2 linked regions of the Caenorhabditis elegans genome follow. The protein of the gene in region 2 purifies or fractionates together with the protein of the main gene of each other region. This does not show direct contact. Each region holds a gene or a part of one and is shown on either strand. Other genes may lie near its edges.

Evidence for each region.
Region 1: the proteins of T09D3.3 (region 2) and C35E7.11 fractionate together in Caenorhabditis elegans (co-fractionation; one large-scale study listed by BioGRID). This does not show direct contact.

What each region holds. Positions count from the first base shown.
Region 1 is NC_003279.8:10,840,551-10,847,924, reverse strand, and holds C35E7.11 (Glutamic acid-rich protein-like), read right to left. Parts: upstream 3,154-7,374; 5' UTR 3,138-3,153; coding exon 3,068-3,137; intron 3,026-3,067; coding exon 2,948-3,025; intron 2,547-2,947; coding exon 2,305-2,546; 3' UTR 1,953-2,304; downstream 1-1,952. Other genes in the region: vet-2 (Very Early Transcript), read right to left, coding at 1-48, 102-1,125; C35E7.2 (Reverse transcriptase domain-containing protein), read right to left, coding at 3,545-3,657, 3,703-3,762, 4,068-4,802, 5,096-5,188, 5,238-5,504, 5,949-6,804.
Region 2 is NC_003283.11:5,345,272-5,352,645, forward strand, and holds T09D3.3 (EB domain-containing protein), read right to left. Parts: upstream 4,301-7,374; coding exon 4,220-4,300; intron 4,176-4,219; coding exon 4,043-4,175; intron 3,622-4,042; coding exon 3,050-3,621; intron 3,005-3,049; coding exon 2,902-3,004; intron 2,859-2,901; coding exon 2,687-2,858; intron 2,323-2,686; coding exon 2,196-2,322; intron 2,146-2,195; coding exon 2,092-2,145; intron 2,047-2,091; coding exon 1,953-2,046; intron 1,908-1,952; coding exon 1,354-1,907; intron 1,310-1,353; coding exon 1,223-1,309; downstream 1-1,222. Other genes in the region: srd-9 (G_PROTEIN_RECEP_F1_2 domain-containing protein), read left to right, coding at 6,512-6,702, 6,962-7,374.

The DNA.
Region 1 (7,374 bases), on a different chromosome or scaffold from region 2:
CACCAACTTTCTTCACTGGCTCTGGCTTAATGGAATAAATGGCCATACCTGAAAAATTCAAAATAAATCTAATTTTTAATTTTTTAAACAAGTTTACTCACCGTATTTTCCATATATAAGTTTCTCGTCGTATTCGCGTGGAAGAATCTTTGCGTCTTTTGGTGAAATTGCTACAAAGCAGTCAATCAATGAATCGTACTCTTGTTTCACAAAATTTCCATCTTCATCTTTCATAATCACAATTGGTCTGTCTTTTGACATTTGTATAAACAAAATGTTCATTGGAACTTCATGATTTGGATCGTAGACAAGCTCCGGTACATGTACTTGTTCAAATTGTCCTTGTTCACAGTTATACACGTACTGCTCAATTATCTCGCTTCTTCCATTCCAGACTGCGGTAAATGTGACATGTTTCTTGAGGGATTCACTCCAAACCGAGTACTCAGGGTATAGAATGTCCTCTGGTACAGTTAAAAGTGATGGCATGAAACAGCTGAATTCTCTATCAAAATAGAATTCCTTCGGCTTCTCGTTGTTTCTTCCCGGCACCCGAACGATATATTGATCGCTTTTAAAGCAGTAGCTTGTATTGAGAATTGGAAGCCTGAGATAATGAGTGAGACTTCTACATTGACCGTACCGCTTTAGCTCCTTCATTTGAAGAGTATTCACTTTTGTATTTGGAACATCTTGATACTCTCCATTGATGAATTGTTGAGTACAAACATGACCATGTTCTGGATGACGACGAATCAAGATAGTTTCAGTTTTCGAGTCCACAATGCAAATCCGATCGCCCACTGGAGTTGGATCATAGGATACCGGTGGAACCACTGGTTCAATTTGCTCGAGACACTTCTCCTTGATATCATAGATGTAGTACTCAATCCAATTTGTCACAACATTATGAAATGGCATCACGGCTTTTTGCATCTTCGGATCCCAAAATGTTCCTTCTTGTGGAAAAAGGTTCTTCTCGGTGATTTTTGGTTGGCAGTCGAGACACTTCAGTGGCATAAACTCCTCGAGATCGTAGTCGTAGTAGTATTTGTAATAGCACTTATTTCCGTGATCCACTCCGACGTAGTCGGTCTTGCAGAAACCACAATATCCAGTGATCATTTTGAGAAATTTTGAATCAATCTGAAAATATATTTGGTATGAATCGAAATATAAAAGATAAAAAAAAACGAGGATATGGAAATGAACAACACATTTTGCTTTTTCAATTTAAAATTTGTTCAGTTTTTTGGCCGGTTTTGTGCAAATTATATTATACAGGAAGATAATCTTGGAGTAGCGAAAATTGGGTTGATGCTCTACTAAGAAAAAATATGGGTTTTTTTGACATGTGGAAATTTTGGTTTAAAACAAGGTCTGAAAAGTTTCAGCAGACTGCTCATAAGGCAATTTTTAATTTCGGAGTAAAATAATTTAGCTGACATTGAGGGCAAAAAGTAATTCCTATTTACGTAAACAGAGATAAAGACTGATAAAGGAAAAATAAAAGAATAAAACATGAGAAAGGGGCCTTCGACCAAACAATAGAAACAATTGAAGACTGAATGACTACATTTTGTGTTTCCAGATTGTTGTGCGCTCTCGGACGCTGGAAAATATTCCAATAATTAGAGACACAATAGGAAATTGAGAGACATTGATGTCTAGAGTAAATATTGATTGGTTTTTTATGGGTGGAGTCTGGAGGGAGTGCATTAACGATGTAGATGGGAAGGAATGTATTTTGATCGATCGGAAAGTTTACGATTCTTTATTTTTGGTACATCTCTATCTCTTCACGATATTCTCCTTTTACAACAGTCTACCATTTGAGACATCGCCTCCTCTTACAGCACCTGTTATAGTGTGACAATATGTAAGAAAGTCCTCTTGTCAATTGACCTAATATTCTAGACATCTAATGATCTCAAGAACATATCGAATGTAGGTTAGCCAATATCTAGTTTATTTAAATTTTAACTCCAGAACAACCAAAAAAGCTATAGAAATCGACATTTGAAGTGTAAAAATGAGGGAAAAATGGTTTAGAATAAAAAAAGAACTGTTTGCGAGACGTTGAAAACTGTGAGCTATTTGAAAATAATAAACAAAAAGCGAGCAAACTGAGCTTTTTGCTTGAGCTTGAGCTAAAAAAAAAGGTCCAGAAAAAACAAACAAACATTTTTTGAGATTTTACGATTCATACGCTAATATGATGATAGATGAGATCTTGAGAATAAATGGAAAGATCTAGTGGTATTTGATTATAATTATAAAGAGAATCTTTAGACAATTTAAAATCTACTCCTCGTCATTTTCTTCCTCATCAGCCTCTTCTTCTTCTTCTTCCGGCTCATTTGGTTGCTCCTCACTCTCGGCAACTTGCTCATCTTGAGCTTCAACTTCAGTGGAACCCTTTTCCTCAACAACGGATCCTCCATTGGCTTTCTTGAGCTCTTCCTCGTCGTACGTGTCGTCTTCAATGAGCTGATGAACTTCTTCAAAGGATGGCTTCACCTTCTTTGGTGGTGGAACTTCGATAACTGAAATTTTATGCTGATATAAAAATATATGTTGTCTGTATTTCTTGATTTTTCATTGAAAATTAGACGATTATAATTATTTTATGAGATATTATAGTAAAAATATATCAACAAAAAATTTTGTCAGAATTTTCTAAAACTCGCCAAACATATTTTTTGAGTAATATTTCAATAAAATAAATTGAAAACTAATTCGAAAACATTGGCGACGTCTTGCAAATAACAGAAGAATGTCGTATATTTTAGTTCAACATAGAAAAATTTCGGTAAAAACTGAAATCACTCAAAAACTAAACGGATGAACTTTTTGAAAATTTACCAAAAATAATTTCCAGTTTGTTCTAATAAATTTAAATGCATTCCGAGTTTGTCTGCAATTTAAATATTCAAACTATACTAACCATCATCGTCGCCTTCTTTCCCCTCAGCCTCTTCAGCGACCCGCTTTCTAGTCTCCATCGACTTTTCGGAGGAACCTTCTGAAAAAAAAATTATCAGGGTTTCAGATAAATTTTCCTCACCCTCACTGAATGGGCACTCGACTTCCGGAGATCTTGGCGGAGAATCTGGAACTTCGACGATCTCGGACATGGCTGGTTTGCAGTTGCTAAAAATGCTTGAAAATTTAGTTTAAAAAAAAATAAATTAAAAGTGAAAAGTAAAAAGCAGAGATTATAAACTCTTTAAATAAGTTTAATTTAGTTTCCCGGGGTTATTTCCCAGTTGTATAACTTTTTATAGCAGGACGAAAAAGCAGGAAATTCAAGTGAAACTAGGATACTATGAAAGGAAAGGTAGCTGGAAACGTACAGTAAAAATGGGGTTTCTATGTGTAATTGAGGATATGGAATCGTTTTGTCACAGATTTCCATATGAAAACCAGAAAATTGGGGATGAGAACACAGGAAGAAGATAAGAAAAAACATGCACAATTGAAATCAAAAGATATAGGAATTTCAATTTTTGAGAGTAGTTTGATTGAGTTTTGGGGTAAAAAACTATTGAACGCGGTTTTTGAGTGACTCGACAAGAACTTTCATTTCTCGATCCACGTCCTCATCATCATCATCAGCTTCTGAAAATTCGTCCACATCATTGCCGTTCTCGTCGCCTGAAACTTGAGAATTAAACTGAGATTTATCATTTCAATTCTCACTCTCTGATTCTTCGTCTGGTTCAAGGAAGTGCAGCTTTTTCGGCTTTTTGAAAGTAGTGTCTGGAAATATAGGGGCTTATACTTTTCTGGCGAGCTTATTTTCTTGGTAGCTAACGCGCTTCTAATCTTTTTTCGCCGTTATTTTTTGAGCGCTAAATGCCTTTTGATAGTTCCAAATTTGATTTCTGTCCTGTTTGAAGATCAAAAGCTTCAAGCTCAAAGCATCAAGGATCCCTTAGAGATCGTATAGTCGTCTGCACGTGATTATACTTATACAAATTTCTGCGACAGAAGGTTGAGAGTGTGCGAGAAAAAGCTTGCGGGGTGCTCTAGAAAGTTGAAAATGTCTGACAGAAACAACGTACCTTCCAAACCAGACAATTGTGTCCTTACATCGGAAACTTCTTCTCTAAGCTTATCAAACCGATCATTCGATTTTTTCAGCATTTCCTTTTTATCAGTTGAACTTGGAATTCGGGGTGAAGGTGGGATCACTCTGTTATACTTTTTAGGACCTTCTGTGAGACGTCTTTCTCTTCTTGGTGCGATTCCTCTTTGCGCGAGTATGAGCTCTGCGATGCTTTGCATTGAGTTGGCTGTCATTTGAGGAGCATTTGGAGCATGAGGTGCTTGCTGTGGAAAGGTTGAAGGCATCGGATGAATCGGGTACGGAAACATGCTTGCGGCACTGTTAGGCGGCTGTTGTAGTTGTGATGAGTGTAGACTGCAAACTGCATTTCCAATGCTTCGAATTTCATTGGCCATATGCTGCATTTGTCCATTTTGCATAGCTTGCTCATGCTGCAGACCTGATATTTGTCTAAGCAAGTCTGATATCGTGTGATTGAAATATTCCACTGGAACATAATGAGGTTGGGCAACACGGTGAGTCATTTGTGGGTGTGGTGGTGCGGTAAACTGTTCCTTTGGTTTTTCAAAATCGATTATCTGCTTGAACAAGTTGTCCTCCATATTACACAATTTTTGGAAAACTTTCAGCTCAATATCATCAAAATCCTCCTGTGCATCTTCATATTCGGAATTCTTTTTGTAAGTCGGGTGGTAATCCGGATGCATTTGATTGCGTAGAGTAGGTTTTCCTTAAAAATATTCATTGCGACTTTTGAAGCCAATTTCTTGCTCAAGATTTATCAGAAAATGTTCAGTTGGTTCAGAAATTGGCTACAAATATAAATATTTAGCAAATTAGTTGCATCGAAATAGTACTAAACGAATATGTTTGAAGCAGATGTTCAGATTTTTAGATTTGAAAATTAATTATTTTTACTCAAATTTTTAATAGTTCTACGGGGCTTCTATGGTAGACTGAAAAACAATTAGCTTAACCAAATTTTCTACTCTACTCTACATTGTGATCAGTTCAATTGATTACCTTTATCAGACTCAAGCCATGCGTCTGTAGGACGCACGTTGTTCTCACAATCCTCACATCTGTGATCGATCAAGTCTTTAGGAGTCACGTTCTCTGCAATTCTTTTCAGTTTTTTAAAAATTGAAACTCTTCGAAAACTCACCGAATAAAGTAAACTTGCTTGCAATCACTTTCCGGCTTTTAAAAACGTCCAAACTGGACAAGATGGTGAGAAATGTTCCAGTTCCAGGAATTGTTGGCGCAATTTTGAATGGATCAATTTTATAATTCTCATTCATCATCCAGTATATTGTGCCAAAAGTTGCGCCTTCCGTGGCAACAAGAGTTTGGTGATTTTCATTGGCTGGGCACATTTTTTCGAGGATATTCTCCTCGCAACTTTTTGATGTGTTGTACCAATTATTTGATTCTGAAATTATCGTATTTTAAAGTTATTTTGTACAGTTCATATATACCATACGTAAAGTATAAAAAAATAATTTGGTTTATTTGGAATCAATGTTCAATTTTATTGAAATGATTAAAAAGTACACCAAATACTGACTGGAATTTGTGATTTACTGGAAAATACTGCAGATAAATGTTCATATTTTTTATTATTTTTTCACAAGAACTTAACACATCTTCAAAAGACTGAAACTCGCTTTTTTTTTCAAAAACTACAGTAATCCTACAACAATCTTACATTACACCTCCGTGTCACGACAGTACCTTGATACTACCCTTGCCCCACCAACTTCCAACCCAATATCTATTAGGCTATAGAAAAAGAGAGTTGAAAGATAAAATTCGAAGTTATGAAAAATTCGCAATTCATCAAATAAACATGCAAGAACGTATTCAAAACACCAACCTGAATTTGTCAATTTTCTCTCTTCCATTGCAACTGGGCTTTGGAGTTTTAGGTCAAGTGTCTTCGGACAGTAAGTCGACAGAAAAATATTCTCATTTTTAGCTGATCGCACAATTGCAAACTTTTCCGTCGTCTCACATCTCACCGTTTCCGCATAAAGTTTCGTCTTCTTGTCATAATACTCCAATTCCAAGTTTTTATCATAAGTACAGACTGAACATTTGATAATTTCAAAGTGGAGGGTTAATTTGTTGAGAACGACTTGGTGTACACTTTCTGATTTTGTGGTTTTGCAGAAGTAGATTTTTTGGGATACATGAGGGCATATTTTGGTGTTGAGAAGAAGCAAATCCTTCTCCATAATTGCTTGAGTATTCTGAATCGGAAAATTTGGTAGAAGCGCAATGGCCTTGTTTTCGTCTTTCAGTATCAAGCCTTCCGGTGTTTTTCGGTACTTTCCAATTATTCCATGTATATTCACAAATGTGTCCATAACTCCTGACTGCTTACATCCAATCCATGATATTCCAATACACATCAACCGTTGTCCATCAATGCCTCTGTGTAATTTGTCAGTTGCTCTCAATCCCTGAACTTCCACCGAATCAGTAAAGAGGTTGATGTCATCAGCCCGCAAACAAGATTGGCAAACGCAATCTGGAGCTTTTAGAAACTCATTATTCTTGAAGATGTACTTTCCAAAGACTCCATTATCTGTTCCAAAGAGAACAACTTCAAGTGAATTCTCGCAAACGACTGAATATTTTGGTACGATGCGGGCTACTTTTGGTAGCTGGGGTGTTTGGGTTGATGTTGAGTATTTTGAAGGAGGATTTTGGTATTCACTGGTGTTCATTTTTTACCTGAAAATTTCAGGCTTTAAATTAATATATTGAGAATTTAATGCTGAGAAACAAGACAGCAAATCAAGATTAACTGGAAATTCCAAAAAGGCTGTCATGAAAAAAATTGATAAGTATCTAGGCAAGTTATGAAAGTAGAAAGTTAATACCCTTTAATAGTGTGAGAAACGCAGACAGCAAGAGTGCCTCGTTGTCTGCGTCTTCAATGGGATTATATATAGTTTGAACTGTTCGTTGAGTTGATCCTTGGACTCTCTAGGCTACTATTAGATGAAAATAGTGCAGTTCCAATTGATGTTTTGAACTTTTCAGATTTAATTAGGTGTTCCCCAACTATATTATCTCAAGGGGATTATAATGAGATAGTTGGAAATTTGGCGTTGCTCATATAGATGTAGATTGTAGAGAAATGTTCTATTAGTAGTTTTCCCCGTGAAATATTGTTTTTTAAATGCTTTTCCCGTTTTGTAGAAATTTGAAATTGTTTCAGACAATTTTTCATCAATATAATTTATTGGGAAAAGTGGTAAAGTGAAGAAAAGTAATTCATTACTTTAAAATAT
Region 2 (7,374 bases):
ACTTACTTTTTGTTCTCAAAAAACTTACCTAGTTAGACAACATCCGAATAACAATTTCCCACGTTTTAAAAATCCTGCATGACTAGTCTTGTCACCAATAAATAACACAGGATGATCATTTGAACCTTAACAAAAATAAAACACCGGGATCAGATTGTGCACCTACATCAAAGTGATTTCCTGGAATCAACTTATTCGTGATCTATTGAAATAAGGAAATCAAAAAAGATTAAATGATGCAGGTGTTTCCCGAGGACTGATCAAAGAGTTCTGAAAAAAAAAACAAGTTGCGTGTCTAATTTGTAATTTATGTGATGGATGTAATAAGGCAAACATGATTGATTGATTAACGTCCGGCACGTATGTAATTTTCATGATAACTATTGTAGAAAGCACTTTTCTAGACCACTGAGATCTTTGAATGAAGGATTAGTTAAAATTATAGTAACTCCTTGCGAGTGTAGTAAATGCAATAAAAAGTTGCGCCAGTGGGGAAAGTGTAAAAACTACTCCTATGGTGCCAAAATGACCGAATATCACAATAAAACTTTTCAAAAATGTTTGGAAACTTTTTTATTTACTGTCAAAAAGTGACAATTGCCCAGTTTTTGCCACTCATATTTTTGGAAGTCGACCAAAAAAAAAATGTTCCAACATGTTTTATATTTTAATTTTATTTTAATTATTTATAAAATAACATTGTAAGGGTCGAAATAAGCGAAAGTGCTTTGGATCTCATCAAAAGCTCATATTTTTCAAAATTTTGGCAAACATCCAAAACTTGGCCGAAAATTATGAAAAATCTAAAACTTTGGAGTGTTTTATTATGAGATTCGGTCGTTTTGGTTTTCTCCCCACTGGCGCTACTCCACCTCTATCAGTTTAAACTCTGTTGATTTATATTTTTAAAATTCTGAAGGCTTTAAAAATGTTTATATAGCTGAAAAATGACATTTTTTGAATGACCAAACTGTAAACAAATAATTAATAATACTTTTTTTTAAAGTTTCTAAGATCAGATACAACAACAACAACAACAATTCTTTTGATTTTATCAGTGAAGAAACCAAAAAAATGGTGAAAAAAAATCCCGCACTCCATTTTCTAGAACATTAGAATGTGAAAATGTTCATGATAAAATCTCTCGGATTTTCAGAAATATTTTATTTGTACAAATACATAAATTCAGTCCAATAGTTCAATATCCAGCTATAAAATTTTCCTAAATTTTGCTAAATCTGTCCGTCATAAAATCGATGAAATTTGCTGCATGTGAAAAGTCATCCGTTATATCCTCTTTAAGCTTCACCTAAAAATTGTATGTAGGATAGATACATGAAGTGAATTTCAAACCTGCGCCAGCTCACTGAGAACATCCAAAAAGTTTTCAGACCGGATAACATGTCTCCCGCGAATATCACCAATAGAATTCCGCTTTTCAGTTGGCGAGGTTTTTATTCCACTCAATGGGTTATCAAATTCTTTTGAAGAGGGTGGTACATGGGGCGGAATTGTCCAAATTCCGTAGGCTGGTATCATTGGAACTTTGTTTGCTTTCATTAACATATCCGGATAGATAGGAGTTAGGTTAACCACAATTTTTGGGGTGGATGTTGTCGGTGGAAGTGTAGTTGTGGTGCTAGTACTAGTTGAAGTTGTATATGTTGTCGTAGTAGGTTCAGTTGTTGTAGATGTAACGGGTACTGGTGTAGTAGTTGTTGTAGTAGTTGTAGAACTAGATGTGGTTGGAACTAGTGTAGTTGCACTTGTTGTCGTAGATGTGGTCGTGGGGCATGGCACTGGAGTTGTTGTGAATATTGTAGTTTTTGGTTCTTTCGTTGACTTCACTCGATGTTTTGTCCAATAAGAAGGTCTAATAACTGGTGGTGATGTCACATTCTCAATGTCTGAAAACAATTGATTCGAGATGATGTCCCCTTGATATTCCCAACCGTATTTCCCCTTTCCAGCCCTCATTCTATTAGGCGTATACATTCTTCGATAGCTGATCTCATTATCTTGTTTCCCCTCCTCGCTAACGTTTGCCTAAAAATATTCAATTTTGGCACTACACTCTTTCCTCCATCTCACCTCTTCTTCAGATGACTTTGCCATCACGTTGGATTTCATTCTTGCAGCCAGATTCTGGAAGGAAAATACATGTTGTTTGGATTTTCCCAAACGGATATTCTCACCGGGTATCTCATGCAACAAGTAAATGCGGCACATTGCACGTAGCCAGCCAAACACTGACAATTGAAGCTATTGCATCGGACTTGCTGTGGAGGAATTATGAGGCAATCGACGTGGCAGGATGGCATACTGGAACATAAATTATTGATTAAATGAAAATATTCAATTAAATTTTTTTCGAATTTTATATTTAGACGTTTTGAAAATTCGAAAAAAATTTTATGGGATTGTACGAATTTAGGAGGTTGGCTGAGCTAAATGCCTTTATTTACCTGCCTGAGACCTGCCGACCTTTTTCCTTCAATTTGACATAAATTTACTTAAAAATTTACTAAATTTACTAAAGTACTAACTTTCTGATAGCAATCAATTTAATGAAAGTCAAATAACGAGATGAAAAAAGTTCTTAAATATGTGTTTTAGCAGAAGATCTGCAAGGCACGCATTTTGGCGCCTATATGGAAGAAATTTTCAGTTACATAAAAAATCATACCAATCTGGACGGCAACTTGGCTCCAAAATGTGGTTGTAGAACTGTGACTCATGCATATATTGAAGTCTAGCAACACATTGCTGACTACAATGAGGTTGGCAGGCCGGAGAGCATTGTGCCTGTGGTGCGGGATGTACAACTAAAACCAGGGGATGCGGTGGGCTTGGTGAGCCTGAAAAAAAAAATTTATTATTTTTTTACCCCTTCTACTGTACCTGGTAGCACGCTTGCTTGGATCGTAGTGGTAGGTGCTGCAAATGGTCTCCTCGGTTCACAGCATTCATTTCCACACCAGCCATCCATGCAGCTCATTGATGCCTAACGGTTTTAGATGTTTGAAGTTTTAATAAATATATATCAAACCTGAAAAAATCCACGGTGAGGTTCGATTGGAAATCTTGGCATTCCGTATAGATTCTTCTTCGATGCAATTTTCATCACTTCTTCTTTAGTCGGTTCAAGAACTACCGGTTGAGGAATTGGTAATGGAACTAATGTCGGGAAATTTGGATTAATGTGCATTTGAGGTGATATTTGTAAATTTGGAGGCGCTGTTGGAATATTAGGTTCTTGTAGAATTGGGTTAAGAAGTTGTGTTAATATTGAAGAGCCAAAGTTTTGAGACATATGTGGTGGGAGTAATGAAGAATTTGAAGTAAACATCGGAGATGACTGAGAAACTGGTACTTCAGTTTCCAAAAGTCTTGGAAAATTTGGAGATGGCTGGTAATGTTGTCGTACTGGAGATCGGAAGATTTGACGATTTTCAGTTGGAAAATGAGAAATCCGAGAAGGATATGGTGGAGTTGTCAGGATTGGAGTTTGTGTAGTTGAGTAGATGTCAATTGGTTGATAAGATGTTTCCGAATAAGTTACAGGTTTGATGATAAGAGGCGGCTGGATTCGGACTTGATGAAAAAATCGTTTTACTGGAGCTGAAATTCAAAATAGGTATAGTTTTTGAAACTGATGTGATAAATCAGAAAATTTTTTAAAAATAATCTCCTACAACTGCTAGGTATTTTCCAATATTTAGATTCTTGGCCAAGTTTTGTCAAAAAAATATTAGCTAGTTCAACAGGTGGCCAAACTTAGGCAAAGCTTAGGCAACAGGTAAGAAAGAGTTGAGCAATATTTTGGCAAGTTTAAAACCACACGAGAGAAGTTTGTTCAACATTTAAATTTGGGCAAAGCTTAAACTAGGTCTTGCCTAGTTTATAACTAAACTTCAAAAGCAAAAGTGTTGAGTTAAAAACACTATTCAATCTCTAAAAAGTTAAAAAAAGGCAAGCTACTAGATTTGACTACAAACTAGTGAGTTTTAAAATAGTTACAAAAGTTATCTGAAACCCTCACCTGTATTGTAGTTTCTTGGAGGACTTTGAACTTGAGTGACTTGAAAATTATTCAAATTTCCATTTCGATAATCTGATTTTCCTAGAGCCCAATTACTGTATTTTTCCGCAATATTTGAAACTCTATTTACTACCTGAAAATTTCCTGTGAACACAATAAAATTTTAAAAAAACGAACCGAATGATCTTGTTCAACTTTTTGTGCATTTATTGAAGCAGCAAAAAATATTACGAATTTAGTCGCACTGATAAAGCTCATAATTCACTGATTTGGAAAACGTTGAATATCAAAATGTGCCCGTTCAACTTTTGACACATTCATTTATTATTTGTTCAAATATCTTTTCGCCTCTCTCCAAATTATCTAATGAATGACAGAATATGCGTGCGTCTCCTTTAATGTTTGTATTTGGATTTGCGTAATCATTACGATTTATCTTATTACATGATCGAGGTAGAGATATTTGGAAAAGGTTGAATAATTATTGAATTTTGGGAATATGAAGGTGGAGTAGCACCTATGGATTTTTTGCCCTAAATGACAGAATCATTGTACCAAATCTAACCGTATCACCCTAATGTATAGCATTTTTCTAATTTTATTTTCAATTTTGCGATAAATAAAAAGACTGAATCAATTTAGAACTCTCGTGCAAATGAATAACCTAGGGGTTTTAAAATTATTGCATTTTCTGACTATGTTAATTTATTTATTAATTTGATCTTTTTTTGCGGAAAAAATTATAAAACCTTGTCAATTTATGTTTTTCAAATCAAAAATCAAAGATAACATAAACAAAAACCAATTAATATAAGGTAAAATGCAAAAATGCCAAAAACTAGAGAATTCATTAATGCCGGAATTCAACCTTTTTTCATGTTTGTTTTTGAAATTAAAAAAAAAATGTTTTAACTTCTAAACATAATGTTTGTTCAAATTAACCGAAACTTTGACATTTCCAAAAATTTCCAAAAATTTCAACTTTTATTATATATTGTCATATTTTGATTATTCGAAAAAATACCCTCTTGTGTAACTTTTCCTCCAATAATCTAAGTTTTCCAGATTCCAGTTTTTCAAAAACGCAACGGGACAAAAACATGACTAACTTCCGAGTATGATTGAAAAGTGATTCATAAAATCTTGAAAAAAAAAAGTTTTTTTAAACCTTTTTTAATCTTTGAAAAAAATCTAAATATATTCTCTTGATTTCATAGTCGACTAAATTCTAGTATGTGTTCGATGTTCCCAGTTTACACATTCTTGACCACAGCTAAAAGTGATCAAGCATTCTCACGATCACCACGTGCTGCTGCACAATCCGCTGACGAAAAAATTCCAAAAGAATTGCAAACATTGTCATTCTTTTCATTTTTGTTTCGGAATCAAGACACAGACTTTATTTTTAAGCAAAAATATCATTTACAAACTAATTAGCCTTTTCGAATTTTGCAAGTACAGCTGTAATCTTCTCAAAGCGTGTCGAGAGATTCTTTCTGACGATCAGAGCGTCTTCACGGAGAAAGTATTCGGATCGATACTGCTTGTCGGTTCCATCTGGAGGATTTGTGTAGATGATAGTGATACGGTCGTTTTGCTGAAAATTTTGAAAATTTTAATAAATGAAACATTGCGGCTACGTGTAATTGCTTCCAACTTTTTATCAATCGGGTAAGCTTGCATAGTCATACGTTTCACAACGATTTTAAAATAAATTTTGAAATTTAAAATTTAAAACATCAACTTCCTTCTTGATCGATAAAAAGTGGGAGATATTTCCACGTAGGCCCATATTGCCGGGTTTTGAATTTTCGGCAATTTCGACAATTTTCTTTTTTGAGTTTTGGGCAGTTTTAATTTGAAAAATTAAAATTTTTCAACGGAATACATTTCTACGCTCCGAAATGTATAGAAAGTTAAAGTTTTATACTACAATTCTCCTTTTTTGGCAAATCTTCTAATTGCCGAAAACTCAACCACCCTTGCGCTCATGCCTTTCCCCACTTACATCCTTTCCATCACACTTCACTGTGAAAAGAGCCGCTTCATTTGGATCCAGAACTCCTGTCGGAGTACTTGTTGCTTTTTTAAGCGCCGTGCTCACTCCAAACACAATACGTCTCCCGGAATTGTTCAGCAATTTGATGTGTCCAGATTGCTGAGTGATTTGCAGTTCTCTCGGAGACAAGTCGGTTGCCAATTGTCAGAAGAATGACCATTTCTGATACATCGTCAGAAGAATGACCATTTCTGATACACGCTTGACCACGGGCGACCACGTGAGTTGAAATTTTGTTTCGCAAAATTTTGGGAACAAAGTTCAAATTAAAGAATGAAGGGTACAATGTGCCAAACACGTTGTTTTTCGTCTCACGCTACTGCATTTATCCATTTCGTTTCCTTTTTTCTTTGTTTACGTCTTTTGTTTCATTCTAACAAGGTTCACACTAAACATTGAACATTTTCAGGATGATTGAAGTTATCGTTCTGATGATTTACTATGCCATCCTTGGAGCATTCGGAATAGTCCTGAATGGTCTTCTTTTGCTTTTAGCAATATTCCGATCTCCGTCTCAAATCAAAACCTACCGAATTCTAATCATCAACTTTGCACTCACGGATATGTTTTCCTCATTTCTAATGATGTTCTGTGCACCAAGGTAAGACCTAGTTTTTTACAACTTCATGCAGAAAAACATAAATCTCGACAAGGGTGGCAAATCGAGAGAACTAGTTTTTTCCGAAAACCGTCCGGTTTTGACAGCGGGCAGAACGTCCGGATAAGAGAAAATCCGAAGTCTGTGCCCTAAACCGGGATAACTTTGCAAACTTAAACTTTGAATTAGTTTAAATATTTTTTTTTTTGAAAATTTCAAGAAAATCTAGAAACCCCTTAAAGCCAAGTGAATAAATTTTCAGAATCATACCACTCGACTATGCCATGGCCCATATATTTTATGGGCTTTGTCACTTTGGACATCCATTTTTATGTTACGCATCCTGGAGTGCACTTCTTCATTTATTCATACATTCAATGTGGTCACTACTCTTATCATTTGCATATCGTAACTATATACTCTCATCTGCTCCCCCATCTACGTGGAAAGTATTCATGTTCAGTGTTTTTATATACATTCCATCATTCACTCAGTTCATTGTGCTAATGTTCACCGCCGCGGATCCTTATTTGATTTTTGGAATGTTGAAATCAAAGTTCCCAGATTATACATTTGAAATTTCAACTGTTACGGGAATATCCGATGCATTATCTCCAGCTGCTACATTTTCAATCCTAAACATGACAGTTCCAGTTTTTGCGATTTACACTGCAA